Anolis sagrei: one gene and its partner. The protein of the gene in region 2 binds, or shares a complex with, the protein of the main gene of each other region. Links are inferred from orthologs where the notes say so. Each region holds a gene or a part of one and is shown on either strand. Other genes may lie near its edges. The genes, in order: POLE4 and POLE2.

Evidence for each region.
Region 1: POLE2 (region 2) and POLE4 share a complex: the UniProt entries of both Homo sapiens proteins name them as parts of the DNA polymerase epsilon complex. The link is inferred for Anolis sagrei from reciprocal best matches to the Homo sapiens genes POLE2 and POLE4.

The regions. Positions count from the first base shown.
Region 1 is NC_090034.1:61,627,971-61,644,426, forward strand, and holds the start of POLE4 (DNA polymerase epsilon subunit 4), read left to right. Parts: upstream 1-9,283; 5' UTR 9,284-9,306; coding exon 9,307-9,495; exon of another isoform or gene 9,496-9,519; intron 9,520-11,500; coding exon 11,501-11,585; intron 11,586-11,677; coding exon 11,678-11,719; intron 11,720-16,456. Other genes in the region: excitatory amino acid transporter 5-like, read right to left, coding at 3,796-3,948. UniProt on the Homo sapiens protein: Accessory component of the DNA polymerase epsilon complex. Participates in DNA repair and in chromosomal DNA replication.
Region 2 is NC_090021.1:340,613,018-340,629,681, reverse strand, and holds the start of POLE2 (DNA polymerase epsilon subunit 2), read left to right. Parts: upstream 1-5,297; 5' UTR 5,298-5,332; coding exon 5,333-5,400; intron 5,401-7,100; coding exon 7,101-7,201; intron 7,202-7,380; coding exon 7,381-7,456; intron 7,457-11,995; coding exon 11,996-12,073; intron 12,074-13,557; coding exon 13,558-13,651; intron 13,652-16,664. UniProt on the Homo sapiens protein: Accessory component of the DNA polymerase epsilon complex. Participates in DNA repair and in chromosomal DNA replication.

The DNA of each region.
Region 1 (16,456 bases), on a different chromosome or scaffold from region 2:
ACAAGACAGAGGTACTCCTGGTCAGTCGAAAGGCCGAACAGGGCATAGGGTTACAGTCTGTGCTGGATGGGGTTACACTCCCCTGAAGGCGCAGGTTCGCAGCTTGGGAGTGATCCTTGACTCATCGCTGAGCCTGGAACCCCAGGTCTCGGCGGTGGTCAGGGGAGCTTTTGCACAATTAAAATTTGTGCGCCAGCTGCGCCCGTACCTTGGGAAGTCTGACTTGGCCATGGTGGTCCATGCTCTGGTTACATCCCGTTTAGACTACTGCAACGATCTCTACGTGGGGTTGCCTCTGAAGACTGCTTCAATCAGTCCAAAGAGCGGCAGCCAGATTGCTAACGGGAGCGGGGTAGAGGGAGCATACGACTCCTCTGTTACGCCAGCTCCACTGGCTGCCAATTAGCTTCCAAGCACAATTCAAAGTGTTGGTTTCGACCTATAAAGCCCTAAACAACTCCGGCTCAATTTACTTGTCCGAACGGATTCTCCCCTATGAACCATCAAGGTTATTAAGATCTTCCGGAGGGGCCCTGCTCTCGATCCCACCACCTTCACAATCGCGTCTGGTGGGGACGAGGGACAGGGCCTTCTCGGTGATGGCTCCTCGGCTTTGGAACTCCCTTCCACTAGAGTTTATTTATTTATTTATTTATTTATTATTCGAACTTATATGCCGCCACTCCCCTGTGGCTCGGAGCGGCTTACAAGAATGACTAAAATCTAACACAATTTAAAAACAATTTTAAACAATTTAAAAACAGAAATATCAAAAATCAAAGGCCTGTCGAAACAGGTATGTCTTGCATGCCCTGCGGAAAGCCGATAAGTCCCGCAAGTCACGGACTTCAGATGGCAGAGTATTCCAGAGTGATGGCGCCATTGCTGTAAAGGCTCTGCGTCTGGTTGCTGTTAGACGCAAGGTCTTGACACTGGGAATTTCCAACAGATCTTGGTCCTCAGAACGGACGGATCTCTGGGGTTGGTAGGGGGTGAGGCGGTCCCTCATGTACATTGGCCCCAGACCACGCAAGGCCTTAGAGGTGAGTACCATCACTTTGAAAGTGATCCGGTGCTCAATTGGTAACCAATGCAGCTGTAGTAAGATTGGTGTTATGTGGCATCTCATCGGAATTCCCGCAAGAAGCCGAGCAGCTGCGTTTTGTACCAACTTGAGCTTCCGGATCACCGACAGAGGAAGGCCAATGTAGAGGGCGTTACAGTAGTCCAGTCTTGAGATGATCGTAGCCTGGATCACCGTAGCTAGGTCGTCCCTGGACAGGTAGGGGCCAGCCGTCTAGCCTGCCGCAGATGAAAAAAGGCGGTTCTGCTAAAGGCGGAGACCTGGGCCTCCATCGTCAGCAGAGGGTCCAAAAGGACTCCCAGACTCTTTACCAATCATGACGGGTGTAGTGCCTCGCCATGCGGGGTAGGCAGCTGGATATCCCACTGCCCGGTCGACCCAGCCATAGGATCTCCGTCTTTGCTGGATTCACCCTCAACCTGCTGGCACGCAGCCATCCTGTAACGGCCTCGAGGCACTGATGGAAACAATCGGGTACAGAGTTTGGTCGGCCTTCCATCTTCAGCACAAGCTGAGTGTCATCGGCGTACTGGTAACATTCAAGCCCAAAACCTCGAAACAGCTGAGCAAGTGGTCGCATATAGATGTTAAACAACAGAGGGGAGAGAATGGCCCCCTGAGGAACCCCACAAGATAGAGGGGACCTCTCGGAGACCAGACCTCCCCTCTCCACTCGCTGTCCATGGTTGTGAAGAAAGGAGGACAGCCAGTTTAAAGCTCTCCCCCTGACTCCAACAGCAGCAAGGCGTTGGGTCAAAAGATTGTGGTCGACTGTGTCAAATGCTGCTGTGAGATCCAATAACACAAGCAGCGCTGACCCGCCCTAATCAAGCTGGCATTGGAGGTGATCTGTGATGGAGACCAGCACAGTCTCTGTCCCGTGCTCCGGACTGGAAGGGATCTAGTCCGGCTGTGTCGTCTAGGAATTGCTGCAACTGCTCCGCTGCTGCCCTCTCAATCACCTTGCCCAGGAATGAGAGATTTGAAACTGGGCGGTAACTGGAGGGAACCGAACAATCTAAGTCTGGTTTCTTCAGCAGGGGAGAGACCACCGCCTCTTTTAAACCCTCTGGAAAAACTCTTTGCTCAAGGGAGCTGTTTATAATCTTCAACAGAGGGTCACGTAATCCCTCCAAGCAGGATTTCACCAACCAAGAGGGACACGGATCGAGGGAGCAAGTGGTCGGTCTATCTGCAGCTATGAGCCTATCAACAGCCCCTGCGTCCAGTGGGATGAACCAGTCGAGGATGGGCCCAGCAAGTGGCCACGGAGTCTCAAGTTCTCTCACTGTATCAATTGTGGCGGGGAGGTCCCGGTGAAGTAGCGAGATCTTGTCTGCAAAATAGCTCTGAAAAACCTCGGCTGAAGGGGCCTGGTCACCACTTTTTGGGACAGTAGGAACCGTCGTTAGAGATCGAATTATTTTGAACAATTCTGCCGGGCGTGAGCTAGCAGATGCTATCAAAGAAGCATAATATGCTCACTTTGACTCGGTGACAGCATGCTCATAGGATTCCCTAAATGCCTCATAAGCTGATCTCGCTGCTCCGTCACGGAGTTCTCGCCACACGCCCTCTAGCCGTCTCTTTTCCTGCTTCATCAGTCGAAGTTCCTCGGTGAACCAAAGAGACCGATTTCGGTGGGGTCGGAGAGGGCATCTAGGGGCAATCTCGTCGGGTGCATTGGATAGCCTAATGTTCCATGTGTCCACCTGCACATCGATCAAGTCGCTGGCAGGCTCCAGATCCCTCAGAGCATTCCGGAACCTACTGGGTTCCATAAGTCTCCTTGGGCGAGCCCAAATTGGCTCGGCGCCCTTGCAGGGTGGGTAGGCATGCTCTCAGAGCACAGTGATCCGACCATGGAACCTCTATTGTGGAGGCTTGATCTGATTAGATCTGCCCCTTCTCTCCTGTCGTTTAGAAAACTACTAAAAACCTGGCTTTGGAATAAGGCATTTGATGATTGAGTCAATAACCTTTGTGCACACGGAAGGATGGTGATGAATTGTAACTCTATTTGACGACTTGGCTTATGTAATGTGATGATGTTTTTATTGTATTTTTCGGTTTTTAATGATGATGTATTGTACTGTTTATATTACTGTATTTGAGTACATGCTGTAAACCGGCCTGAGTCCCTCTCCGGAGGTCGAGAAGACCGGTATATAAAACTTCTAAATAAATAAATAAATCTAGTCCAACAGGAAGGCACCATTCAAGCCTTCCCAACAGATGGCCATTCAGTGAGATATAGGATTGATATATATACAGACATAGAATAGATATATCATAGGATCTTAAGAGCTGAAAGAGACCCTAAGAGCCATCCTGACAGATGGCCATTCAGCCAGATATGATGTGTGTGTGTGTGTGTGTGTGTGTGTAAATAAGAGCCCCTCACTCTTTTGCAGGAAGACACACCATCTGACCTTTTCCAACAGATGGCCATTCATCCATAGCTATGACTGAGATATATGTTTGTGTGTGTATGTATGTGTATATGTATGTATGTATGTATGTGTGTGTGTGTACGTGTATATAAAATCAACGTATCATAAAAAGAATTGGAAGGACCACATGGCCCTGTTGTTTTTGCATGGCCAGAGGACACCACCCGATCCCTCCTGAGAGATAGACATTCAGCCACAGCTTCGAGCTCTATACACACACACACACACACATATCTGTCTCAACGATCCCATACTCACAAGGTCAGAGAGCTCCAGGCGGCGGAGCAGGAATCCCACGCCGCAGCCGGTGACCACAGAGAGCAAGGAGAGGACCAGGAGGCCGTTCTTGGTCCAGAAGACCCGCAGGCCCCTCCGGATGCCGCCCAGGGCCCGCTTGAGGCGTTCCCACATGGCGCTCTCCGCAAAGGGGGACGGCTCTGCGGGGCATCATTGGGGAGCCTGCCGTCCCACCAGAGGAAGCATGCTCCAGCGACACCCTCCTCTCCTTCCCTTTCCTTCCTTCTTTTCTGGGCTCCCGAGCCTTCCTTGCTGTCCCCTTGGGCTTAAGGGGAGAGTGACGTCTTGAGCCGGCTTTGGGCGAAGGAGGCACTGTCATAAGTCCTGTCCCTGCGGGAAAAACAAAGGTCTTAGTCTTAAGGGATTGGCAGGGCAGGCAGGCGGTCAAATATAGATCTCAATGGGGGAAGGACGGAGAGAGGGATGCACTCTGCACATGGCCAAGAAGAGTAAGAATAAGAAGAATGGAGAGGGATGAAATCTGCATAATAATAACAACACTAACAATAATATCAGAGAGGGAGGGGTGAAATCTGCATAATAATAATAATAACAACAACAACAACAACAACAACAACAACATAGTAAAGGTAGTCTCCTGACATTAAGTCCAGTCATGTCTGACTCTGGGGTGTGGTGCTCATCTCCATTTCTAAGCCGAAGAGCCAGCGTTGTCCGTAGACACCTCCAAGGTCATGTGAATTGGAAGAGACCTGGTGGGCCACACAGTCCAATCCCATTTTGCCAACAAGCAGGAATATCATCTTCAAAGCCTCCGACAGATAGCCATCCAGCCTCTGCTTCAAAGCCTCCAAAGAAGGAGCCTCCACCACAATCAAGGGCAGAGAGAGAGTTCCACTACTGAACACCTCTCACAGTTAGGAAGTTCTTCCTCATGTTCAGGTGGTATCTCCTTCCTTTCCTGTAGTTTGAAGCCATGGTTCCATTGCGTCATAGTCTCCAGGGCAGCAGAAAACAAGCTTGCTCCCTCCTCCCTATGACTTCTCCCCTCATATTTATACACAGCCCTCATAATGTGTCCTCTCTGCCTTCTCTTCTGCAGGCTAAACATGCCCGGCTCTTTCAGCCGCTCCTCATAGGGCTTCAGACCCTGGATCCTTTGAATCGCCCTCTTCCTCTGGACACATTCCAGCTTAGAGTCAACATCTCCCTTCAATTTGGTGCCCAGAATCAGACACAGTGTGATTCCAGGCAAAGTGGTCTGATGAAGACAGAAGAGAGGGGTAGCATGACTTCCCTGGATCACTAGACTCCTCTTGATGCAGGCAAAAATCCCATTGGCTTTTCAAGCTGTTGCATGACATTCCTGGCTCATGTTCCCCTTCCTCCTCACGAGGACTTCAAGGTCTTTTCCCCACGTCCTACTGTCGAGCTAGCCATCATCCCCCATTCTGTCTCTGTGCATTTCATTTTTTTCTGCCTGAATGGGATATCTTGCATTTGTCACTGTGAGAAGGATGCACTCTGAACATGTTCAGAGGCAACCCAAGGGTGGATAATAATAATAATAATAACAACAACAACAACAACAACAATGGAGAGGTGCAATTGCGTAATAGTAATCCTCATCATATCAGAGAGGGATGCACTCTGCACATGGCAAATAATCATCATCTTTGTCGAAGGCTTTCATGGCTGGAATCACTAGGTTCTTGTGGGTTTTTTCGGGCTATAGAGCCATGTTCTAGAGGCATTTCTCCTGACGTTTCGCCTGCATCTATGGCAAGCATCCTCAGAGGTAGAGACCTCTACCTCTGAGGATGCTTGCCATAGATGCAGGCGAAACGTCAGGAGAAATGCCTCTAGAACATGGCTCTATAGCCCGAAAAAACCCACAAGAACCTAATCATCATCTTTATTTATATCCTGTCATATCAGAGAGGGATGCACTCTGCACATGCTCAGAGGCAATCCCAATGAGGGGAAATAATAATAACAATAATAATATTGCAAAAAGAGGGATGCACTCTGCACTATATTAATAATAATAATAATAATAATAATAATAATATAGAGAAGGATACACTGCATAATAATAAGGGAAGGATGCACTGTGAAGAACTTAACGGTGAAAGAGAGCTTTTCAGCAGTGGAACTCTCTCCCTCTCTGTCCTGGAGTATGATGGAGGCTCCTTATTTGGAGACTTTGAAGCAGAGGCTGGGTGGCCATCTGTGGGGGGGGGGGGGGGGGCTTTGAATGTGATTTTCCTGCTTCTTAGCAGAATGGGTTGGACTGAATGCACTCTGCATAATAATAATAATAATATAATAATGAAGGGAGGATGCATTGAATAATAATAATGACAGATGCACTCTGCATAATAATAATGATGATAATAATGAGGGAAGGATGCACTCTGAATAACAACAACAATAATAATAGAGAGGGATGCACTCTGCATAATAATAATAACAATAATAAAGAGAGGGTTGCACTGAATAATAATAATAAAGAGGGAAGGATGCACTCTGCATAATAGTAATAGGGAGAGATGCACTTTATATAATAATAATAATAATAATAATAGAGGGAGGGATGCACTGAATAATATTAGGGAGCGTTATATTGTATTATTTCATTATTATTATTATAATTATATTACTATATGTATTATTATTATACCATTATATTAATACTTTGTGTTGTCATATTACAATATGAGCATCACCCCCTCAGAGTTGGATATGACTAGTCTTAATGTCAGGGGAAACCTTTACCTTTACCTATACTATGTTACTATATTATCATTGTTATATTCTTCTCTATACCTCCCTGTCTCCCCCTATTCTATGTCACTATACACCTGTATTATTAATTTTGTTATATTAATAATTCTATGTTATTATATCACTATTATTATCTTCTTCTTCCCAAGAGCTCTATGCCTCTCCATCTTCTATGTTATATCATTATATTATTATATTGCTATATTTATTAATTAATATTATATGGTGTTATATTATTATATTACGATAAAGCAGATTACAGGAGCTGTCTTCATAGACCTGTCAGCAGCCTATGATACTGTGAACCACCGCCTCCTCCTGAGAAAAATGTATAATATCACAAAGGACTAACACCTCACCCGCCTCATAGGAAACCTGCTACAAAACAGGAGCTTTTTTGTTGAGTACCAGGGCCAGAGAAGCAAATGGCGGAAACAGAAGAACGGCCTGCCTCAGGGGAGCGTGCTTGCTCCATCCATGTTCAACATCTACATAAATGACCAGTCACTGCCAGAAGGGACAGAGAGCTTCACCTATGCTGATGATCGTGCCATTACTGCTCAAGCAGGGAGCTTTGAGATGGTTGAACAGAAGCTCTCCGAAGCTCTAGGTGCCCTTACTGCCTATTACAGGAAAAATCAGCTGATCCCTAACCTATCAAAAATACTGACATGTGCTTTTCATCTCAAGAACATACAAGCATCCCGAGCTCTGAGGATCACCTGGGAAGGAATCCCACTGGAGCATTGCAGCACACCCAAATACCTGGGAGTCGCTCTGGCCTGTGCTTTTACCTACAAGAAGCACTGCCTGAACATCAAGCAAAAAGTGGGCGCTAGAAACAATATCATACGAAAGCTGGCTGGCACAACTGGGGAATCACAACCAGATACAGTGAAGACATCTGCCCTTGCGCTGTGCTACTCTGCTGCTGAATACGCATGCCCAGTGTGGAACACATCTCACCACGCTAAAATAGTGGATGTGGCTCTTAATGAGACATGCTGCATTATCACGAGGTGTCTGCGCCCTACACCACTGGAGATATTACACTGTTTAGCCGGTATTGCACCACCTGACATCCGCCAGGAAGTAGCAGCCAATAATGAAAGGACCAAGGCAGAGACATCTCCAGCTCATCCCTTGTTTGGGTATCAGCCAGCACGACTTAAATCAAGAAATAGTTTTCTAAGATCTACAGAGACACTCGCTGGAACACCTCAGCAAGCGAGAGTCCAAAAGTGGCAGGCTCAAACCCAGAACCTGAATCAATGGCTGATACCAAATGAGAGACTCCCCCCTGGGCACACAGAAGACTGGGCGACTTCAGAGGCACTCCAAGTGGTCAGATACTGGTCAAAGGACATTTAATCAACTACCAAGCTTGCAAACTCTGTTTTGTCTGTTTGTTAAAATTTGTTAAAAATGTAATACAATTATCTGGTTGATACTGACACGATAAATAAATGATAAAGTAATTATATTTACTATATATTTATTATATTAATATTATACGGTGTTATACATATATTATATTATTTATTATTATATTAATATTCTATGTTAGGGTATATAATTATTATTGACAAGTTAGAGAGTTGGGCCAAAACTAACAAAATGAAGTTCAACAGTGACAAATGCAAGAGACTCCACTTTGGCAGGAAAAACGAAATGCAAAGATACAGAACGGGGGACAATGCCTGGCTCAAGAGCAGTACGTGTGAAAAAGATCTTGGAGTCTTGGAGTTTAACTTGTGGACAACAAGTTAAACATGAGCCAACAATGTGATGTGGCGGCAAAAAAAGCCAATGGGATTTTGGCCTGCATCAATAGGAGCATAATGTCTAGATCTAGGGAAGTAATGCTACCCCTCTATTCCGCTTTGGTTAGGCCACACCTGGAATATTGTGTCCAATTCTGGGCACCACAATTCAAGAGAGATATTGACAAGCTGGAATGTGTCCAGAGGAGGGCGACTAAAATGATCAAGGGTCTGGAGAACAAGCCCTATGAAGAGCGGCTTAAGGAGCTGGGCATGTTTAGCCTGAAGAAGAGAAGGCTGAGAGGAGATATAATAGCCATGTATAAATATGTGAGAGGAAGCCACAGGGAGGAGGGAGCGAACTTGTTTTCTGCTTCCCTGGAGACTAGGACGCGGAACAATGGCTTCAAACTACAAGAGAGGAGATTCCATCTGAACATTAGGAAGAACTTCCTGACTGTGAGAGCCGTTCAGCAGTGGAACTCTCTGCCCCGGAGTGTGGTGGAGGCTCCTTCTTTGGAAGCTTTTAAACAGAGGCTGGATGGCCATCTGTCCTGGGTGATTTGAATGCAATATTCCTGCTTCTTGGCAGAATGGGGTTGGACTGGATGGCCCATGAGGTCTCTTCCAACTCTTTGATTCTTTGATAAACGATAAAGTAATTATATTTACTATATATTTATTATATTAATATTATATGGTGTTATGCATATATATATATATATATATATATATATATATTATATTATTATATTTATTATTATATTAATATTCTATGTTAGGGTATATAATTATTATTGTGATCTTTTTCTTCCCTAGAGCTCTCTGACTCCCCCTAGAGAGCTTTGGCGGGAAGGGCCAGTGAAAGCCGGGCAGAGGGGGCGTGGCTTCCCGCGGCATGAAGGCGGGGCCTGAGGCCTTGATTTGCGTACCGCGTGGCGCAGGCGCAGTAGCGGCCAACATGGCAGCAGCGGTTCCTGAGGTAAATGTCGCGGCGGCGCTTCCCAGCGAAGAACCGGAGGCGCCACCCACTACCGCAACGGCCCGCCCGGCTCGCTTGCCTTTGTCCCGGGTGAAAGCGCTGGTCAAAGCCGACCCGGATGTCAGCCTCGCCAGCCAAGAAGCCGTCTTCATCTTGGCCCGCGCTACGGTGAGACTGAGACTGCGCATGCGAGGGGTGGAAGGGGGCAATCGCCTGGCCAATCAGAGCGTTCGTTTGCTCCCGGTAGGCGGAGACTGCGTGTGGGCGTGGCTACCCCCGCGCGCTTTTTAATGCTGGCCAATCTCGCCGCTGTGGGCGTGGCCAATACCAGGGTGCAGGGGGCGTGGCTGAAGAGAGGGTGGCGTTGTTTCACCAACAGGGGGCGCGCGTGCTTTCCTTGAAAAGTTTGGGAAAGTTTTCACTGTATTGTCGAAGGCTTTCATGTCTGGAATCACTAGGTTCTTGTGGGTTTTTTCGGGCTATATGGCCATGTTCTAGAGGCATTTTCTCCTGACGTTTCGCCTGCATCTATGGCAAGCATCCTCAGAGGTAGTGAGGTCTGTTGGAATTAGGAAAAAGGGTTTATATATCTGTGGAATGGCTGGGGTGGGGCAAAGAGCTCTTCCCTGCTGGAGCTAGGTGTGAATGTTTCAACTGACCACCTTCATTAGCATTTGAAGGCCTGGCTGAGCATGGGAAAATCTTCTGTTGAGAGGTGTTAAGATGTGCCTTGTTGTTTCCTCTCTGCTGTTTTGCTGTTGTAATTTTTGAGTTTTTTAATACTGGTAGCCAGATTTTGTTCATTTTCATGGTTTCTTCCTTTCTGTTGAAATTGTCCACATGCTTGTGGATTTCAATGGCATCTCTGTGTAGTCTGACATGGTGGTTGTGAGAGTGGTCCAGCACTTCTGTGTTCTCAAATAATATACTGTGTCCAGGCTGGTTCATCAGTTTTCACTTTTTGAAGAATTGCATGTTTATTGTATTGTCGAAGGCTTTCATGGCCGGAATCACTGGGTTATTTATTTATCGTGTCAGGAGCAGACCAAACAGTTGTGTTTCATTTTTTAACAAACAAACAGAACACAAAGTTTTCAAGCTTGGTATTCTATTAAATAGGGGGTGTCATAAGGCTCACCAAAGGACACCAGAAAACACAGTATTTTTGTTGGTCATGGGTGTCTCTGTGTGGGAAGTTTGGCCCAATTCTACCATTTGTGGGGTTCTTTGATTGTAGGGGAACTATAAATCCCAGCATCTACAACTCTCAAATCTCTATTTCCCCCAAACTCCATCTGTGTTCATATTCAGGCATATGGAGTATTCATGACAAGTTTGTGAGAAGCCATTGAAATCCACAAGCATGTGGACAATTTCAACAGAAAGGAGGAGACCATGAAAATGAACAAAATCTGGCTACCAGTATTAAAAAACTCTAAAATTACAACAGCAAAACAGCAGAGAGGAAACAACCAGGCACATCTTAACAACTCTCAACAGAACATTTTCCCAGGCTCAGCCAGGCCTTCAAATGCTCATCAAGGTGGTCAGTTGAAACATTCACACCTAGCTCCAACAGACAAGAGTCCTTTGTCCTACCCTGGTCATTCCACAGATATATAAACCCATTTTCCTAATTCCAACAGACCTCACTACCTCTGAGGATGCTTGCCATAGATGCAGGCGAAACGTCAGGAGAAATGCCTCTAGAACATGGCTCTATAGCCCGAAAAAACCCACAAGAACCTAGTGATTCCAGCCATGAAAGCCTTCGACAATACATTAAATCCTTCATTGTTTGAGTCCGCAGTGCTCTCTGGATGTAGGTGAACTACAACTCCCAAATTCAAGGTCAGTGTCCACCAAACCCTCAGTTTCATCATTGGTGGAGTTCAGAATGCGCTTTGATTGTAGGTGAACTATAAATCCCAACAACTACAACTTCCAAATGACAAAATCAATTTTTTCAGTGATGATAACTCCTTGCATTAGTAGGTGTCTTGTGGCCAAATTTGGCAGCATAATTGCGGATTTTGAGTTAGGATGTCACTCAAAACGAATAGAGCATTTTTTATACATAGATAATAATACAATGTATCATGATGCTATAATAAATAATATAATACAAATATTATATAATAACAATCTCTATCTCTCTCTATATATATTGCAGGAGCTGTTTGTGGAGACCATTGCCAAGGACGCCTTCATCTTTGCCCAGCAAGGCAAGAGGAAGACCCTCCAGAGGAAGGACTTGGGTGAGAAATAATACAGAAATAATAATAATACAGAAATAATAATAATAATACCTCCTTATTAATTCCATTTTTGTTTTATGCCTCACCTGCAGACAACGCCATTGAAGCCGTGGACGAATTTGCCTTCCTGGAAGGTAAGCGGCCCATTGGAGTCAATACTGGGTTGCTGTGAGTTTCCTGGGCTGCCTGGCCATGTTCCAGCAGCATTCTCTCCTGTCATTTCCTCAGAGGTTGTGAGGTCTGTTGGAAACTGGGCAAGTTGGGTTTATATATTACTTACTTACTTACTTTACTTACTTAGGCGATCCCTCGTTGGACGAGTAAGATGGTCTTCCATGATGGGTTTCTTTGTGGATTCGTAGGAGGCAGTGGAGCCCTATTCTTGACCCGCATCTTCTCCCACGGTGAAGGCATTGGTTTCCAGGCATTGGTTTCCTCCTGGCACATTTTTCTCTTTCACCCTCCACTCATGCCTCCTCGAATTCTGCAGCACTGCTGGTCACAGCTCACCTCCAGCTGGAGCGCTGAAGGGCCAGGGCTTCCCAGTTCTCAGTGTCTATGCCAGAGATTTTAAGATTGGCTTTGAGGCCATCTTTAAATCTCTTTTCCTGTCCACCAACGTTCCGTTTTCCATTCTTAAGTTCGGAGTAGAGCAACTGCTTTGGGAGACGATGGTCAGGCATCCAGACAACGTGGCCGGCCCAGCGGAGTTGATGGCAGAGGACCATCGCTTCAATGCTGGTGGTCTTTGCTTCTTCCAGCACGCTGACGTTTGTCCGCTTGTCTTCCCAAGAGATTTGCAGGATTTTCCAGAGGCAGCACTGATGGAATTGTTCCAGGAGTTGCATGTGACGTCTGTAGACAGTCCACGTTTCGCAGACATAGAGCAGGGTTGGGAGGACAATAGCTTTATAGACAAGCACCTTGGTATCCCTACGGATGTCCTGGACCTCAAACACTCTCTGCTTCATTCGAGAAAATGCTGCACTTGCAGAGCTCAGGCGGTGTTGTATTTCGGTGTCGATGTTGACTTTGGTGGAGAGGGGGCTGCCAAGGTAGCGGAAATGGTTAACATTTTCTGGGTTTATATATATATATACCTGTGGAATGATGTCCAGGATGGGAGAAAGAACCCTTGTCCGTGTGAGGCAAGTGTGAATGTTGCCATTGGCCAACGTAAGTAGCATTAAATGACCTGTAAAATCAATCAGTGAGGGGAATCTGCATAGAGGGAGCCTGGCCTTTGTTGCCTGGAGGCACCCCCTGTGGAATAATGTCCAGGGTGGGAGAACGGACTCTTGTCTGCTTGAGGCAAGAGTGAATGTTGCAATTGGCCACCTTGATTAACATTGAATGACCTTACAGCTTCAAAGTCTGGCTGCTTCCTGCCTGGGGAATCCTTGGTTGGGAGGTGATAGCTAGACCTGATTGTTTCCTGTCTGGAATTCCCCTGTTTTCTTGCCTCCCACTCTGGACATTTTTCCACAGATATATCAACCGCATTTTCCTAGTTACCAACAGACCTCACAACCTCTGAGGGTGCCTGCCATGGATGTGGGCAAAACAGCAGGAGAGAATGTTTCCTGAACAGGGCCACACAGCCTGGAAAACTCACAACAAACCAGTGATTCTGGCCACGAAAGGCTTCGACAACACATAATTAATACTATTGTCTAGATTATGATGATGATCATAAATGTATTACATAGTTTGGACAGTTTATTTCTCTGCCACATTATTCACCTTCTGGTCTTGTCTATTTTAGATTATAATAATATATTATATTATATACTAGCTGTCCCCTGCCACGCGTTGCTGTGGCCCAGTCTAGTGATCTGGAAAATAAATTAATAAGAAAGTGTTGGTTTCTAATATATGTAATTCCTTTCTGCTTGTGAGTAAACAGTATTTCGTGTTGTTTCTTTGTCAGTGTTGATGTGGAGAGTGTCTGGTTTGCCTACTCTGGAACATGCCACATACCATAGTCCTCCTTTAAGGGTCTCTTTCAAATCTATGATACCATATCTGTGTGTGAGAGAGAGAATCATATCTATCTATCTATATTTATGACTGGATGGCTCTTTGTCAGGAGGGCTCTGATTACATTTTCTTGCCCTGGTGAAGAGAGTTGGACTGGATGGCCTTAAGTATTCTCTGTTGGTCATGGGAGTTCTGTGTGGGAAGTTTGCCCCATTTCTGTCGTTTGTGGGTTTCAGAATGCTCTGTTGGTCATGGAAGTCCTGTATGCCATGTTTGGTTCAATTCCATCATTGGTGGAGTTCAGAATGCTCTTTGATTGTAGGTGAACTATAAATCCCAGCAACTACAACTCCTAAAATGTTGAGGTCTATTTCCCTTAAACTCCATCTGTGTTCATATTTGGGCATATGGAATATTTGTGCCAAGTTTGGTCCAGATCCATCGTTGTTTGAGTCCACAGTGCTCTCTGGGTGTGGGTGAACTATAATTCCCAAACTCAAGGTCAATGCCCACCGAACCCTTCCAGTGTGTTCTGTTGGTCATGGAAGTCCCATATGCCATGTTTGGTTGAATTCCATCATTGGTGTTCAGAATGCTCTTTGATTGTAGGTGAACTATAAGTCCCAGCAACTACAACTCCCAAATGTCAAGGTCTATTTCCCTTAAACTCCATCTGTGTTCATATTTGGGCATATGGAATATTCGTGCCAAGTTTGGTCCATCTCCATCATTGTTTGAGTCCACAGTGCTCTCTGGATGTGGGTGAACTATAATCCCCAAACTCAAGGTCAGTGTCCACCAAACCCTTCCAGTTTTTTCTGTTGGTCATGGGAGCCCTGTATGCTAAGTTTGGCCCAATTCCATCATTGGTGGAGTTCAGAATGTTGTTTGATTGTAGGTGAACTATAAATCCCAGCAACTACAACTCCCAAATGACAAAATCAATTTTGGATATAAATGTGTCCAAATTTGGTGTCAATTCCCCCAGTGGTTTTTGAGTCCTGATGGTAGCACGAACTAACATTACATTTTTATTTATATAGATAGAAATGTATCAGATCGTTTGGACATTTTGGAATAGATTAACTATGATAATAAATTAATAAATACAATAATATTTAAGTGCAAGTGACTCCACTTAGGCAGAAAAAAAGGAAATGCAAAGAGACAGAATGGGAGACAATGCCTGGCTCGATGGTACAACGGGCAGCAGCCAGGTTACTAACTGGTGCGACTTACAGGGAGCGCTCAACCCTCCTGTTTAAGGAGCTCCACTGGCTGCCGTTTATTTTCCGGTCCCAATTCAAGGTGCAGGTTCTTACCTACAAAGCCCTGAACGGTTTGGGACCTGCCTACCTGCGTGACCGCATTTCTGTGTACGAATCCACACAATTTCTTCGATCATCTGGAGAGGCCCTGCTCACGCTTTCACCTCCTTCGCAGGCGCGATTGGTGGGGACAAGGGAGAGGGCCTTCTCGGTGGTGGCCCCCGGACTCTGGAACTCACTTCCCAAGGACATCAGGCATGCCCCAACATTGACAGTCTTTAGGAGGAGCCTGAAAACGTGGCTGTTCCGGTGTGCCTTCCCAAAATAAGGAAGATTCCCAGCAATATGTCCTCAGAATGCACTTTACTACTGGGTTAGGATTGACTGCGCTCCCTCATCTCTTTTAAAACTCTATACCAGATATATCCTACCTGGTTCATGCTATTACTATTACATTTGGCCCGGCCACAGGTTTTTTAATCCTTGTGTGTTACTGTTTATTGGTTATTGTTTAGATGTGATTTATATTAATTGTATTGTATTTATTGTTTTTTGTTTATTGCTTTTTGTTTTTATTGATGTGTTGTTGGGCTTGGCCTCATGTAAGCCGCTCTGAGTCCCTTGGGGAGATGGTGGCGGTGTATAAATAAAGATTATTATTATTATTACTATTATTATTATTAGTAATAATAATAATGGAGCCCCCGGTGGCGGGGTGGGTTAAAAGCACTGAGCTGCTGAGCTTGTTGATCGAAAGGTCGCAGGTTCGATTCTGGGAAGCGGCGTGAGCTTCCGCTGTCAGCCCTAGCTTCTGCCAACCTAGCAGTTCGAAAACATGCAAATGTGAGTAGATCAATAGGTACCGCTCCGGCGGGAAGGTAACAGCGCTCCATGCAGTCATGCCGGCCACATGACCTTGGAGGTGTCTACGGACAACGCTGGCTCTTCGGCTTAGAAATGGAGATGAGTACCACACCCCAGAGTCAGACATGACTGGATTTAATGTCAGGGGACAACCTTTACCTTTACCTATTATTATTAGCCATCCCCTGCCACGCGTTGCTGTGGCCCACATGGGGATAATGTAATGTTAGTTTGTGGGATTAACAGAACTCAAAAACCACTGGACGAATTGACACCAAATTTAGACACAAGACACCTAACAACCCAATGTACGTCCTTCACTCAAAAAAATTGATTTTCTCATTTGGGAGTTGTAGTTGCTGGGATTTATAGTTCACCTACAATCAAAAAGCATTCTGAACCCCACCAACGATGGAATTGAACCAAACTTGGCACACAGTTCTCCCATGACCAACAGAAAATACTGGAAGGGTTTGGTGGGCAGGGTCCTTTGGTTTTGGAGTTGTAGTTCAGCTACATCCAGAGATCACCGTGGACTCAAACAATGATGGATCTGGACCAAACTCTACACGAATACTCAGTATGCCCGAATGTGAACATTGGTGGAGTTTGGGAAAAATAGAATCTTGACATTTGGGAGTTGTAGTTAATGGGATTTATAGTTCACCTACAATCACAGAGCATTCTGAACCCCACCAACGGTAGAATTGGGCCAAACCTCCCACACAGAACTCCCATGTGGGCCACAGCAACATGTGG
Region 2 (16,664 bases):
AAGAAGACTTACAAGCCACTCTCAACACAGACGCATACACGAAGGTATTTGAAGGACTTATCTCCCTTGATGAACCCCTCAGAGCTTATTTTCCATCTTCATCACTATGATACTTCATCTTATTGATGGGAAGCTTCCCACCAGAGTGGAAATCATCTATTGGAGAGATGGCAAGCTGTTGAACCTCACCAGACTGAAAGCCAAAACCAAGGTTACAACAACATCTGTTATAGAACTCCAGTATGCGGATGATAACGTCGTCTGTGCTCATTCAGAAGAAGACCTACAAGCCACTCTCAATACAGACGCATACAAGAAGCTATTTGAAGGACTTATCTCCCTTGAACCCCTCAGAGCTTATTTTCCATCTTCATCACTATGATACTTCATCTTATTGATGGGAAGCTTCCCACCAGAGTGGAAATCATCTATTGGAGAGATGGCAAGCTGTTGAACCTCACCAGACTGAAAGCCAAAACCAAGGTTACAACAACATCTGTTATAGAACTCCAGTATGCTGATGACAACGTCGTCTGTACGCATTCAGAACATCTACAAGCCACGCTAAACACCGGAGTGGAAATCAAATGTCAGATAGATGGCAAGCTATTTAACTTTAGCAGACTGAAAGCCAAAACCAAGGTCACAACAACATCTGTAATAGAACTCCAGTATGCTGATGACAACGTCGTCTGTGCTCATTCAGAAGATCTACAAGCCACGCTAAACACCGGAGTGGAAATCAAATGTCGGACAGATGGCAAGCTATTTAACTTTAGCAGACTGAAAAACAAAACCAAGGTCACAACAACATCTGTTATAGAACTACAATATGCTGATGACAACGTCGTCTGTGCGCGTTCAGAAGATCTACAAGCCACTCTAAACACCGGAGTGGAAATCATCTGTTGGACAGATGGCAAGCTATTTAACTTTAGCAGACTGAAAGCCAAAGCCAAGGTCACAACAACATCTGTTATAAAACTCCAGTATGCTGATGACAATGTCGTCTGTGCTCATTCAGAAGATCTACAAGCCACGCTAAACACCGGAGTGGAAATCATCTGTGGCACAGATGGCAAGCTATTTAACTTTAGCAGACTGAAAAACAAAACCAAGGTCACAACAACATCTGTTATAGAACTCCAATATGCTGATGACAACGTTGTCTCTGCGCATTCAGAAGAAGATCTGCAAGCCACTCTAAACACCCAAGTGGAAATCATCTGTCGGACAGATGGCAAGCTATTTAACTTTAGCAGACTGAAAGCCAAAACCAAGGTCACAACAACATCTGTTATAGAACTCCAGTATGCTGATGACAACGTCGTCTGTGCGCATTCAGAAGAAGATCTACAAGCCACTCTAAACTCCCGAGTGGAAATCATCTGTCGGACAGATGGCAAGCTATTTAACTTTAGCAGACTGAAAGCCAAAACCAAGGTCACAACAACATCTGTTATAGAACTCCAATATACCGATGTTCAGACTTTCATATAAACACCCACAAAAGTGGCATCTGTAGACAGTCCACCTCTCACAGGCGTATAGCCTTACCCTTACCTTAGGCGATCCCTTGTTGGACAAATAGGATAGTCTTCCAGGATCAGTATTCTTGTGCATCCGTAGGTGACTGTGGAGCCCAATTCTTGACCTGCATCTTCTCCAACAGTGAGGGCATTGGTTTCCAGGTGGAAGCCTTTCCCAGTGAGGGTTGGCTTGACGTGCCTTCTTCTTGGTACATTTTTCTCTTTTGTCCTCCATTCGTGCCTCTTCAAATTCTGCAGCACTGCTGGTCACAGCTGACCTCCAACTGGAGCACTCAAGGGCCAGGGCTTCCCAGTTCTCAGTGTCTATGCCAGAGTTTTTAAGGTTGGCTTTGAGGCCATCTTTCAATCTCTTTTCCTGTCCACCAACATTCCGTTTTCCGTTCTTAAGTTCGGAGTAGAGCAACTGCTTTGGGAGACGGTGATCGGGCATCCAGACAACGTGGCTGGTCCAGCGGAGTTGATTGCGGAGGACCATCGCTTCAATGCTGGTGATCTTTGCTTCTTCCAGCACACTGACGTTTGTCCGCCTGTCTTCCCAAGAGATTTGCACGATTTTCCGGAGGCAGCGCTGATGGAATCATTCCAGGAGTTGTACGTGACATCTGTAGACAGTCCGCGTCTCGCAAGCGTATAGCAGGGTTGGGAGGGGAATAGCTTTATAAACAAGCCCCTTGGTCTCCCTATGGATGTCCCGGTCCTCAAACACTCTCTGCTTCATTCAGAAAAATACTGCACTCGCAGAGCTCAGACGATGTTGTACTTCGGTGTCGATGTTGACTTTGGTGGAGAGGTGGCTGCCAAGGTGCCGGAAATGGTCCACATTTTCTAATGTTACACCATTAAGCTGTATTTCTGGCATTGGAGAGGGATTGGCTGGTGACTGCTGGAACGGCACTTTGGTTTTCTCGATGTTTATTGAGAGGCCGAGCTTCTCGTATGCTTCTGCAAAGGTGTTTAGAGTGGCTTGTAGATCTTCTTCTGAATGCGCCCAGACGACGTTGTCATCAGCATACTGGAGGGGACTCAGGGCGGAGCACCAAGAATCTCTATGAAAATATAATATTAATAAGCATCTGCATGCAAATATGCTAATAATAATCATAAACATATGTGTGGAAATATAGTATTACTAGTAATAATAATAATAAATACCAATACAGCTTTATTTTATCACCCCACAAGGCTCCAGACTGTGAGAAATAGATATATTTATATGGCAGTTAATGGAAATTCAGACCAAGGGAGCATCTACACTGTGGAATTAACCCAGTTTGACTCCACTTGAACTGCCATGGCTCAAGACTGTGGAGTCCTGCTGTAGTTTAACAAGGCCTTTCGCCTGTTTCACCAAACCATGATTCCATAGCATTTTGCCATGATAGTTAAAGCGGTGCCAAACTGCATTAATTCTACAGTGTAGATGCATTGCACACAATGACAACTAGATTGACAGCTTATTCCTTCCTCCCTTCCTTCCTTCTCCTTCCTTCCTTCCTTCCTTCTCCTTCCTTCCTTCTCCTTCCTTCCTTCCTTCTTTCCTTCCTTGCTTCCTTCCTTCCCCTTCCTTTCTTCTAATTCCTTCTCCTTCCTTCCTTCTCCTTCCTTCCTTCTCCTTCCTTCCTTCTCCTTCCTTCCTACTCCTTCCTTCCTTCTCCTTCCTTCCTTCTCCTTCCTTCCTTCCTTCCTTCCTTCCTTCCTTTTTTCCTTCCTTCCTTCCTTCTCCTTCCTTCCTTCCTTCCCCTTCCTTCCTTCTAATTCCTTCCTTCTTCATTCCTTCCTTCCCCTTCCTTCCTTCCTTCTTTCCTTCCTTCCTTTTTCCTTCCTTCCTTCCTTCCTTCCTTCCTTCGCCTTCCTTCCTTCCCCTTCCTTCCTTCCTTCCTTCCTTTTCTTCCTTGCTTCCTTCCTTCCCCCTTCCTTCCTTCTAATTCCTTCCTTCCTTCCTTTTCCTTCCTTCCTTCCTTCCCCTTCCTTCCTTCTCCTTCCTTCCTTCCTTCCTTCCCCTTCCTTCCTTCCTTCTCCTTCCTTCCTTCTCCTTCCTGCCTTCTTTCCTTCCTTCCTTCCTTCCTTCTTTTTTCCTTCCTTCCTTCCTTCCTTCCTTCGCCTTCCTTCCTTCCCCTTCCTTCCTTCCTTCTTTTCTTCCTTGCTTCCTTCCTTCCCCTTCCTTCCGTCTAATTCCTTCCTTCCTTCTAATTCCTTCCTTCCTTCCTTCTCCTTCCTTCCTTCCTTCCTTTTTTCCTTCCTTCCTTTTTTCCTTCCTTCTCCTTCCTTCCTTCGCCTTCCTTCCTTCCTTCCCCTTCCTTCCTTCTTTCCTTCCTTGCTTCCCCTTCCTTCCTTCTAATTCCTTCCTTCTCCTTCCTTCCTTCCTTCTCCTTCCTTCCTTCCTTCCTTCCTTCCTTTTTTCCTTCCTTCCTTCCTTCTCCTTCCTTCCTTCCTTCCCCTTCCTTCCCCTTCCTTCCTTCTTTCCTTCCTTCCTTCCTTCCTTCCCCTTCCTTCCTTCTAATTCCTTCCTTCTCCTTCCTTCCTTCTCCTTCCTTCCTTCCTTCTTTCCTTCCTTCCTTCTAATTCCTTCCTTCCTTCTAATTCATTCCTTCCTTCCTTCTCCTTCCTTCCTTCTAATTCCTTCCTTCCCTCCCTCCCTCCCTCCTTCCTTCCTTCCTTCCTTCCTTCCTTCTCCTTCCTTCCTTCCTTCCTTCCTTCCTTCCTTCCTTTTCCTTCCTTCCTTCCTTCCTTCCCCTTCCTTCCTTCTCCTTCCTTCCTTCCCCTTCCTTCTCCTTCCTTCCTTCCTTCTCCTTCCTTCCTTCTCCTTCCTGCCTTCTTTCCTTCCTTCCTTCTTTTTTCCTTCCTTCCTTCCTTCCTTCCTTCCTTCGCCTTCCTTCCTTCCCCTTCCTTCCTTCCTTCTTTTCTTCCTTGCTTCCTTCCTTCCCCTTCCTTCCTTCTAATTCCTTCCTTCCTTCTAATTCCTTCCTTCCTTCCTTCTCCTTCCTTCCTTCCTTCCTTTTTTCCTTCCTTCCTTCCTTCCTTCCTTCTCCTTCCTTCCTTCCTTCGCCTTCCTTCCTTCCTTCCCCTTCCTTCCTTCTTTCCTTCCTTGCTTCCCCTTCCTTCCTTCTAATTCCTTCCTTCTCCTTCCTTCCTTCCTTCTCCTTCCTTCCTTCCTTCCTTCCTTTTTTCCTTCCTTCCTTCCTTCTCCTTCCTTCCTTCCCCTTCCTTCCCCTTCCTTCCTTCTTTCCTTCCTTCCTTCCTTCCTTCCCCTTCCTTCCTTCTAATTCCTTCCTTCTCCTTCCTTCCTTCTCCTTCCTTCCTTCCTTCCTTCTTTCCTTCCTTCCTTCTAATTCATTCCTTCCTTCCTTCTCCTTCCTTCCTTCTAATTCCTTCCTTCCCTCCCTCCCTCCCTCCCTCCTTCCTTCCTTCCTTCCTTCTCCTTCCTTCCTTCCTTCCTTCTAATTCCTTCCTTCCTTCCTTCCTTCTCCTTCCTTCCTTCCTTCCTTCCTTCTTTCCTTCCTTCCTTCCTTCCTTCCTTCCTTCCTTCCTTCCTTCCTTCCTTCCTTCCTTCCTTCCTTCCTTCCTTCCTTCCTCAGTGAAGAATAAAACCAAAGTTTCCCAAAACTCTGTTTGCAGGTACTTGGGACTCTATTTCCCAGGATGCCTCCTCATTGGTCAAAGCAGCTGAGGCTTCTGGGAGTTTCAAGACTAGGAACCCGCTTTTCTACCACAAGGGGGCGGGGCCTGTCAGGAAAGGGGCGGGGAAAGGGGCGGGGCCTCACCGTTGGCGCCAAAGTTCCAAAATGGCGGCGGAGAAGCTGAGGGGGAAAGTGGGCGCCGCCTTCAAGATGCACGGCCTGCTGCTCCGCGCGTGAGTAAACCCTTTCCTCGGGGTCGGGTGGGCGCCTCTCTCGTGGCCGTGGCAAGCGAGGAAGGCCTTCGTGGAGGAGAGAAGATCTACGGCTCAGTCAAGGCCAATCTCTAAGCCCCAAGTGCTTTTGGACTTCATTTCCCAGAAGCCTCTGCCACTTAGGCTAAGGAGATGGCATTCTGGGAAATGGGGTCCAAAGGCATGGAAAGGCAGATCTTGGGCAATACTGAAGGAAAGCAGCCTAGAATCATGCAATCTAGTTCCAAATGGTTCATGAGATTATCTAGTTTAATAATCTGGATTATGTGGCGGTGTAGACTCACTTAATCCGGTTCCAAACAGATTGTGTCATTACATAGTTTAATAATCTGGATTATATGGCAGTGTAGATTCATGTACCCCAGTTCCAAGCAGATCATGTCATTACCTAGTTTACTTATCTGGATTATTTGGTGGTGTAGACTCATGTACTCCAGTTCCAAGCAGATCATGTCATTATCTGTTTTAATAATCTGGATTATTTGGCACTGTAGACTCATGTAATCCGGTTCCAAGCAGATCATGTCATTACCTAGTTTAATAATCTGGATTATATGGCACTGTAGACTCACACAATCTGGTTCCAAGCAGATCATGTCATTACCTAGTTTAGTAATCTGGATTATATGGCACTGTAGACTCATGTAAATCATGTCATCTAATTTTGTAATCTGGATTATATGGCGGTGTAGACACACTTATCCGGTTGCAAGCAGCTCATGTCATTACCTAGTTTAATAATCTGGATTATATGGCACTGTAGACTCACGTAATCCTGTTCCAAGCAGATTATGTCATTATCTAGTTTAATCATCTGGATTGTACAGTCATGCAATCCAGTTCCAAGAAGATCACGTCATTTACCTAGTTTAATAATCTGGATTATATGGCAGTGTAGACTCATGAACTCCAGTTCCAAGCAGATCATGTCAATATCTATTTTAATCATCTGGATTATATGGCAGTGTAGACTCACTTAATCCTGTTCCAAGCAGATCAGGTTATTATCTAGTTTAGTAATCTGGATTATATGGCACTGTAGACTCATGTAAATCATGTCATCTAATTTTATAATCTGAGTTATATGGCGGTGTCGACACACTTACTCCGGTTGCAAGCAGCTCATGTCATTACCTAGTTTACTAATCTGGATTATATGGCAGTGTATACTTATGTAGTCTGGTTCCAAGCAAATCGTGGCATTATCTAGTTTCATAATCTGGATTATATGGCAGTGTAGACTCACTTAATCCTGTTCCAAGCAGATTATGTCATTATCTGTTTTAAAAATCTGGATTATATGGCAGTGTAGACTCAAATAATCCGGTTCCAAGCAGATCATGTCATTATCTAGTTTACTAATCTGGATTATTTGGCAGTGTAGACTCACCTAATCCGGTTCCAAGCAGATCATGTCATTATCTAATTTAATAATCTGGATTATATAGCAGTGTACACTCACTTAATCCTGTTCCAAGCAGATCATGTCATTACCTAGTTTAATAATCTGTTGAAATTGTCCACATGCTTGTGGATTTCGCCTTCGACAATAATCATCATCATCATCTGCCATAAATCTGCACTGTAGATGCACACAATGACAACTAGACTGACAGGTTATTCACACTTTGGGTATTTCTTCTTCTTCTCTCTTCCGTTAGTGAAGCTGCTAAATATCTCACAGAAGCTCTTCAAACAGCTAATGAAGTTGAGCTGGAAGACATGATAGAAAATATAATCGACGCTGTTGAAAAACAGCCTTGTAAGTAATGCCGTCTGTTTTCTACAATGGTTTAAGAAGGAAAGGGTGGGATACTTAACGTTTCTGTGGCTTCTGATGGGATTTGTGATTGTAAACTAGGTTTTGTCATAAGCTTTTTAAGCGTGCTCCTCAATAACTACATAGGAAACCATTTTGTATTTTTACATTCTTCTTTTCAGTGACATGTAACATGATTGAAAAGTCCATGGTGGAAGCAGCCGTCCTGGAGTGCAGCCAGTCTGTAGACGAAACCATGTATGTTTACATTCGTTTACTTCAAACAAGCAGGAGCTTTTGATGCAGTCTAGTTTGGTTGATTGTCTTGTTGACTTCCATTACTTTGATTGGCTGATATTTCAGATTTTAGTGTCATTAATATTCATGTACACCAGGCATGGGGAAACCACCGCCTCCTCCTGAGAAAAATGTACACTATCACAAAGGATGACCACCTCACCCGTCTCATAGGAAACCTGCTACAAAACAGGAGCTTTTTTGTTGCGTTCCAGGGCCAGAGAAGCAGATGGCAGAAACAGAAGAACGGCCTTCCTCAGCGGAGTGTGCTCACTCCATCCATGTTCAACATCTACACAAATGACCAGCCACTGCCAGAAGGGACAGAGAGCTTCATCTATGCTGATGATCGTGCCATTACCGCTCAAGCAGGGAGCTTTGAGATGGTAGAACAGAAGCTTTCCGAAGCTCTAGGTGCTCTTACTGCCTATTACAGGGAAAACCAGCTGATCCCTAATCCATCTAAAACACAGACATGTGCCTTTCACCTTAAGAACAGACAAGCATCCCGAGCTCTGAAGATCACCTGGGAAGGAACCCCACTGGAGCATTGCAGCACATCCAAATACCTGGGAGTCACTCTGGACCATGCTCTTACCTACAAGAAGCACTGCCTGAACATCAAGCAAAAAGTGGGTGCTAGAAACAATATCATACGAAAGCTGACTGGCACAACCTGGGGATCACAACCAGACACAGTGAAGACATCTGCCCTTGCGCTGTGCTACTCTTCTGCTGAGTATGCATGCCCAGTGTGGAACACATCAGACCACGCTAAAACAGTGGATGTGGCTCTTAATGAGACATGCCACATTATCACGGGGTGTCTGCGCCCTACACCACTGGAGAAATTACACTGCTTAGCCGGTATTGCACCACCTGACATCCGCCGGGAAGTAGCAGCCAATAGTGAAAGGATCAAAGCAGAAACATCTCCAGCTCATCCCTTGTTTGAGTATCAGCCAGCACGCCAACGACTTAAATCTAGACATAGTTTTCTAAGATCTACAGAGACACTCGCTGGAACACCTCAGCAAGCAAGAGTCCAAAAGTGGCAGGCCCAAACCCAGCACCTCAACCAATGGCTGATACCCAATGAGAGACTCCCACGAGATGCAGAGCCAACCTCAAGAAATGGGGCCACAAAGTGGAATCCTCGGTATGCGAGTGTGGAGAAGAGCAAACCACTGACCACCTGCTGCAATGCAACCTGAGCCCTGCCACATGCACCATGGAGGACCTTCTTGCAGCAACACCAGAGGCACTCCACGTGGCCAGATACTGGTCAAAGGACATTTAACCAACTACCAAACTCACAAGATGTGTATTTTTCTGTCTGTTTGCTTTGTTCTGTTAGAAATGTAATATATAATGGACTGGTTGCTCTGACACGACAAATAAATGGGGAAATTTCTGCCCTTTCTCCAGGTGCTTTGAACTTCAACCCCCACAATAACTTGTGAGAGCCAGTAGGCTGTTAGGAGTTGTGAGAGTCCAAAAACACCTGCAGGGAGGGCTGAAGTTTGCCCATACGTGGTGTAGTGTAATGTCAGTATTAATATGGCATCCATTCATTGATTTTTTTGCATGAGCAGCTAAATAATGTAGAGAGGGTTGACAGAATTTCCTGCAAATCCAAAGTTTGGGAGTTTATTGTTCAAATAATGTTGTCTTTGGATTAGTGAAGGCTTTCATGGCCAAAATCATTGGATTGTTGTGAGTTTTCCAGGCTGGCCATGTTCCAGAAGCATTCTTTCCTGACGTTTCACCTGCATCTATTTATTTATTTGTTTGTTTACGACTTTTATATGCCACCCTTCTCACCCAGAAGTGGACTCAGAGTGGCTTGCAAGAGATATATACTGTTTCAAGATTGGGAAAGGCGTCCGGCAAGGCTGCATACTCTCACCCAACCTTTTTAACGTGTATGCAGAACACATCATGTGAGGATGTGCGGGGCTTGAGGAATGCAAAGCTGGGGTGAAAATTGCTGGAAGAAACATTAACAACTTCAGGTATGCAGATGACACCACTCTGATGGCCAAAAGCGAGGAGGAGCTGAGGAGCCTTCTAATCAAGGTGAAAGAAGAAAGCGCAAAAGCCGGGTTGCAGCTAAACATCAGAAAAACCAAGATTATGTCAACAAGAATGATTGACAACTGGGAAATAGAGGGAGAAAACGTGGAGGCCGTGACAGACTTTGTATTTCTAGGCGCAATGATGAGTGCAGACGCAGACTGTGGCCAGGAAATCAGAAGACGCTTCCTTCTTGGGAGGAGAGCAATGTCCAGTCTCGATAAAATAGTAAAGAGCAGAGACATCAGATTGGCAACCAAGATCCATTGCCTAGTCAAAGCCATGGTCTTCCCTGTAGTCACCTACGGATGTGAGAGCGGGACCTGAGGGAAGGCTGAGCGAAGGAAGAGAGATGCTTTTGAGCTGTCGTGTTGGAAGAAAGTTCTGAGAGTGCCTTGGACTGCGAGAAGATCCAACCAGTCCATCCTCCAGGAAATAAAGCCCGGCTGCTCATTGGAGGGAAGGATATGAGAGACAAAGTGGAAGTCCTTTGGCCACATCATGAGGAGACAGCAAAGCCTAGAGAAGACAATTATGGTGGGGAAAGTGGAAGGCAAAAGGAAGAGGGGCCGACCAAGGGCAAGATGGATGGATGGCATCCTTGAAGTGACTGGACTGACCTTGAAGGAGCTGGGGGTGGTGACGGCCGACAGGGAGCTCTGGCGTGGGCTGGTCCATGAGGTCACGAAGAGTTGGAGACGACTGAACGAATGAACTACAACATATTATATTATTAGCATAGGACAATATCAGTATTAAATATTACTATATTGTACTATACCATTACATTGTAATATTATTAGTAATATTACATGTAATATAAATATATAATTATAATATCATATTACTATTATTGGAGCCCCCGGTGACGCAGTGGGTTAAACCCCTGTGCCGGCATGACTGAAGACTGACAGGTCGCAGGTTCGAATCTGGGGAGAGTGTGGATGAGCTCCCTCTATCAGCTCCAGCTCCTCATGCGGGGACATGAGAGAAGCCTCCCACAAGGATGATAAAAACATCAAAATCATCCGGGCGTCCCCTGGGCAACGTCCTTGCAGACGGCCAATTCTCTCACACCAGATTCTCAAGTCTCTCCTGACACGACAAAAAAAAATACTATTATTAGTATTATATTGCATATATATCTATGGCAGACATCCTCAGAACTTGTGAGTCTGTATGGCTCTACCGGAGAAGTCAGCCATAGCAGAGCCCTTGATGAACCAACCTGGACACAGCATATTATCTGAGTACACAGAAATGCTGGACCACTCTCACAACCACCATGTCAGGCTACACAGGGAAGTCACAGAAATCCACAAGAAGCATGTGGACAATTTCAACAGATAGGAAGAAACCATGAAAATGAACACAATCTGGCAACTAGTGTTTTTTTTTTAAAAAAAAAAAAACCTCTAAAATCATAACAGTAAATAAAGAACAACACTCAAAAACAGGTGAATTCCAGACAAGAAACAATCAGGACCAGTTAATCACTGTCAGTGACATCAGCAGCACAACAAGACAGGAACAGATCAATCACAGTCACCTAGGCTACAAAAATGACTTTATTCTTACAGCTATATACATTAGAAGCTACTTAACAACCAACACATCATAAACTTGCTTCTTTACAGTCCAATCATAACATCACGAACTCTTCAACTGTTATCAGTACTAGTCCACACCTCCTGCATTCCAGCTGCCTCCATTTGTTCTACACACTTAATTTATGACATCTCTAGGAATGCCGTTCCCTCCATGGTTCAGTTAACTTTTTCCACACAGGAATACATTTCACTTGGCACATAGCTACTGCATTTTAAACATACATGCATACTTTGAAATCTACATTATAAATTGCAAAAAGCCTCAGCAATCACCTCCCAACAAAGGATTCCCCCGGGGAGTAAGAAGCCAGACCTTGAAACTGCTAGGCCATTAAATGCTAATCAAGGTGACCAATTGAAAAATTCACACCTACCTCAACAGACAAGAGTTGTTTCTCCCACCCTGGACATTATTCCAGAGATATAAACCCAATATTCCTAGTTCCAACAGACCTCACAACCTCTGAGGATGCCTGCCATGGATGCAGGCAAAACTTCAGGAGAGAATGCTGCTCGAAAATAGCCATATAGCCCAGAAAACTCACAATAACCCAATGTAGTCTTTTATAACTCAGCAATCATCTCTGATTTAAAGCGAGTTGGTGATCCTGGCTTAGATAGAAACAGCCATTGAATGGTAATTCCAGGTTCAGACATGTTTCTGCCTGCTGTGTTTATTTCAAATGATTCAATTGCATCTGTAGAAACAAGATAATTGGCACAGCAGAATACTGTACCAAATTATTTTTCATGATTTTTGTCCCCCAAATAAAGCTTTCCAATATCTTTCCTTGTGCATATGATTTCTCCACAGGGAACACATCTTCAACATCATCGGAGCTTTTGATATCCCGCGATATGTTTACAATTCGGAGAGAAAGAAATTTCTACCGTAAGTTTGTGCTTTGTAAGTTTGGATCCCAAGCTGTGATGATGTGTATTTTTATTCCTATGGTTATGTGTTGTTTAAACAGTAGTTAATAAATGGTAAGTATGTAGGATTATATTTTGTTAGAGATGGTGTCTGGTTTGGCTTGAGCTGAGTTGCCATAGAAACGGGGGTGGAGCCAACTGTCACCTAACTGCATATCTGTTTGAAATAGGCAGTCTGTGACCGTTAGAGTTACAGAGAAGACTGAAATCTCTGGTGGGAGATTCAGGGAACTAGTCTGTGACCAGAGAGTTACAGGAGAGGTAGTTGATCCTGTGGTGTGTGGAAAACCAGCAGGAATCCTACAGTTAGAGAACTATAGGGAAGACTGATTCTTTAATATTAAGAATCAGGGTTTGGCTGTGAGCCAATATAGTTAGATAAGTCAGGTGGCTTATTTGTAGTAAAAGAACGCTTGTTGAAGAAAGATATATCTACTCAAAGAAACCTTTTGAAGTCTGTTTAGTACCTAAAGTTATTCAGGAAACCTTATCAATGTAACTAACTAAGTTTGCGCCTCTAATGAAGTAAGAATTGAATCTGTTATACTCCTGTTAAATAAATTTGTTACTGTTTTCCTCAAGCCTTGCCTGATACAGTTTCTCCTAAGTCAAACAGCCCCACATAAGAAGTAAGACCAAATCAGGGACATTAAATATCAGCTTCACTATCAAATAAATAAATACTTCTGTAAATAATAGTCCCTTTATAAACCAGCTCCTAAGCTGATATTGATCATTGCCCGGCTTTCCTCACAAATTTGGTGGCAGTAGTTTTACGCTCCTTTACACAAGCCAATTTACATTTCGTAGAATCATAGAATCAAAGAGTTGGAAGAGACCTCATGGGCCATCCAGTCTAACCCCATTCTGCCAAAAAGCAGGAATATTGCATTCAAATCACCCCTGACAGATGGCCATCCAGCCTCTGCTTAAAAGCTTCCAAAGAAGGAGCCTCCACCACACTCCGGGGCAGAGAGTTCACATTTTAGGAAAAGAGATTCCACTTAAACATGAGTAAGAATATACTAGCAGAGCTGTTCAAGAGTGGAGTCTGGTGGAGTCTCCTTCACTGGAGGCTTTTAAACAGAAGCCGGATGGCCATCTGTCAGGAGGGTTTGGATTGTATTTCCTACATGAGCATAAATCTGCTCTAAAGAAAGCTTAAGAGTGTACTGGTTTGAGTGTTGGAGTTCGTGGTTCAAATGGCCACCTGCTGTTAAAACCCACGGGGGAGTTTAGGCAGGTCACACTCTCTCAGCTTCAGAGGAAGGCAGTGACCAACCTCCTCGGAATAACTTTGGAGTTAATCGTGTTGGGAGTTTCTGGGATTGGGTTGCTGTAAATTGGGTTCAGGTTGAAGACCCCAAACAAGGAGTAGAGGTTTTCATGTTTCTGTTTTTGTGGGACCCCATTTCACCCAAGTCTGTACAATGTTTCTTTCAGCCTCTCGATGACCAGCCACCCTCCGCCCAGTCTGTTAGGCTCTGCCAGGGATAAAGCAGAATTATTCCGGGAGCGTTACGTCATCTTGCAGCAGGTGAGGTAAAAAAGATTAAGGGGATTTAGTCCATTTTGCACTGTGAAAGGTTACTTTGTTGGACAACAGCTCCCATCATCCCCGGACAGTATTGCCAGCAGCCTGTTATTTAATTGAAAAACTTAATTCTTCCAACATCTGATTTATAGCTTTAGAAAGTCCCACGAGTTCAGAAATATGTGGACAGAAATATGTGGACAGAGTTTGGAATCGGGACGTGAAGTTATATGACTCTCCCTCCCAAGGGAAACTGTCGTGACCCACAGAACACAGAATGTCTTAAACAGCAGTTGAGGTGCAAAATAGTAGTATTTTAATGCAAAACAAACTAAATGAGGCACTTTAAGAGTCAGTGCAAACAGTTCAAAGGATGTTTTCAAACAGGAACACAAAATGCTAGATAAGCAGGCTTGAATTGCAGCCAAGAAATAACAAGAGATACAATGAACTAGGAGCAGAATACAAAACAAAACAGTCTTTAAGGGTTGCAAGGCATGGAGCAAAATCCGGTAGGCAAACGCGTAGTCAGTCAGTTCCAAGGGTCAAGAAGCCAGATGTACACTCACGAGCAAAGGTTCCAAGGTCCGGAGCATGGCAGGGAAAACAGGATACTGGGAATCCAAAACAAGATTAGGCAGAGAACAACACGAAACAACACTTTGTCGTCTGCAAAGGAATAGGTCCCAGAGTGCTCATTTTATTCACTATCAGAAGAATGAGATTCATTGCTTGCATCTGATTCTGCTCCCACAGCTGAAGCATCTACACCACGCCAAGCCTGCCACCTTTGCTCTAGTGCCTGATCCTGCCAATCAGTACTCTCATTCCCATTATCCCTAAAACCTTCAAAATCATCACTTGATGTTGCTTGATTGCAAATGTCTCTAATGTTCTGAACCAGAGTCCAGTCTACAGCCTCCTCCAACTCATCCTCACTATCACTGGAGTTATCTGCTGTGTCTCTAAGCCTCTTAGACATAGTGTCACTCTCACTGCCAGAATCACTAGCCACTCTCTTCACTCCCCTGTAATCTGCTTCCATAGCCTCCTCTGGCCTGAATCCTGCAAAGTCTTCTTCATCACTGGGAGCCAGAAAGATGTCACGAATGCGTTTCAGCTGGCGCTGATTCTCCTCTGTTTCTGCATCACTCCTTCTTCTCCTACTACTAGTAGTAGGTATGGTGTCAGAATGCTGACTCACAACAGAAACACTCATAGATAATAGATTTGTATTTGTGGGGAAATCGCACTACGGATAGGAAATATTTTCTCTCAAAATGAAAAGTTGCCTTAATTTGAAAACAAAAGAGAGAAATAAATATATCATCAAATAGAGGGCTGCAGTGATCATCATTTTGATCTTGCTGCTGTTTGATGTTACCAGACCAAGGCTGGATCTACATTGCCATATAATGCAGTTTGGGATTGAATTATGTAAATCTACGCTGACCATACAATCTGCATTATATAGAATCATAGAATCAAAGAGTTGGAAGAGACCTCATGGGCCATCCAGTCCAACCCCATTCTGCCAAGAAGCAGGAATATTGCATTCAAATCACCCCCAACAGATGGCCATCCAGCCTCTGTTTAAAAGCTTCCAAAGAAGGAGCCTCCACCACACTCTGGGGCAGAGAGTTCCACTGCTGAACGGCTCTCACAGTCAGGAAGTTCTTCCTCATGTTCAAGTGGAATCTCCTTTCTTGTAGTTTGAAGCCATTGCTCCATTGCGTCCTAGTCTCCAAGGAAGCAGAAAACAAGCTTGCTCCCTCCTCCTCCCTGTGGCTTCCTCTCACATATTTACACATGGCTATCACGTCTCCTCTCAGCCTTCTCTTCTTCAGGCTAAACATGCCCAGCTCCTTAAGCTGTTCCTCATAGGGCTTGTTCTCCAGACCCTTGATCATTTTAGTCACCCTCCTCTGGACACATTCCAGCTTGTCAATATCTCTCTTGAATTGTGGTGCCCAGAATTGGACACAATATTCCAGGTGTGGTCTAACCAAAGCAGAATAGAGCATGGGGAGCATGACTTCCCTAGATCTAGACACTAGGCTCCTATTGAGGCAGGCCAAAATCCCACTGGCTTTTTTTGCCGCCACAAAAAAGTGTAGATCCAGTCTTAGTCTGCAAACCAAAACATATCCCTTAGGAAGTATGTTTTCTGGAAACTTGGTGGGATTTATTTCCAAGTGAGTGTACATAGGACCACGCCATTAATCAGGATAGCTGTGCCGGGCTGCAATTTAGCAGTAAAAAAACTAGAAGTAATCTTACATTGTGGTATAACCTTCCATGGTGTAGAAGGGAATTCTGAAGGCTGACCACAGAATTGCATTGGAGGACCTAGAGACTCCTAGAGAGGTTTTGTTAATCTTATGGTTATGTTTTTTACTTTGTATGTTTTGTGATGTTACCTGGGAACCGCTCTGAGACCCCTCGTGGAGATGGAGCAGTATATAAATAAAGTTTTATTATTATTATCATTATTATTATTATTGAAATTATTTTTATTGAAATAGAGTAAGAATATAATATCCATGTAAAGAGGGGGAACATAGTGTTTATAAGAAAAGTAGGAAAAATAGAAAAATAGTTAGAATGGGAAAGGTCAAAAAGGGGAAAGTAAAAAAGGGTGAAAAAAAAGAGAACAATTAAAAATAATATAAAATAAAAAGTCCGGCAACTTCCTTCTAATTCTGCACGTATTTCCAATTTATTGTCGATACACTCCTCCCAGTCTAACAATATCCACTTCTATGCTTCTTAGATAGTAAGTAAGTCCAGTTACATATCCTTGTATCTTCTTTCAATATAGTCCTCAATTAATGACCAATTTGTTTGTTTAACCAGATTGCCTGTATTTCTTTTTAATTAAAAAGTTAGTATATCCATGTCTTTAATTTTGTTTATCTTTTTTATCCAGTGGTCCTTCTCGGGTATTTCCTTTTGCTTATTATTATTATTATTATTCACCCGAAATCTCTAGTTCCTCCAGGAACTCCTATCAATA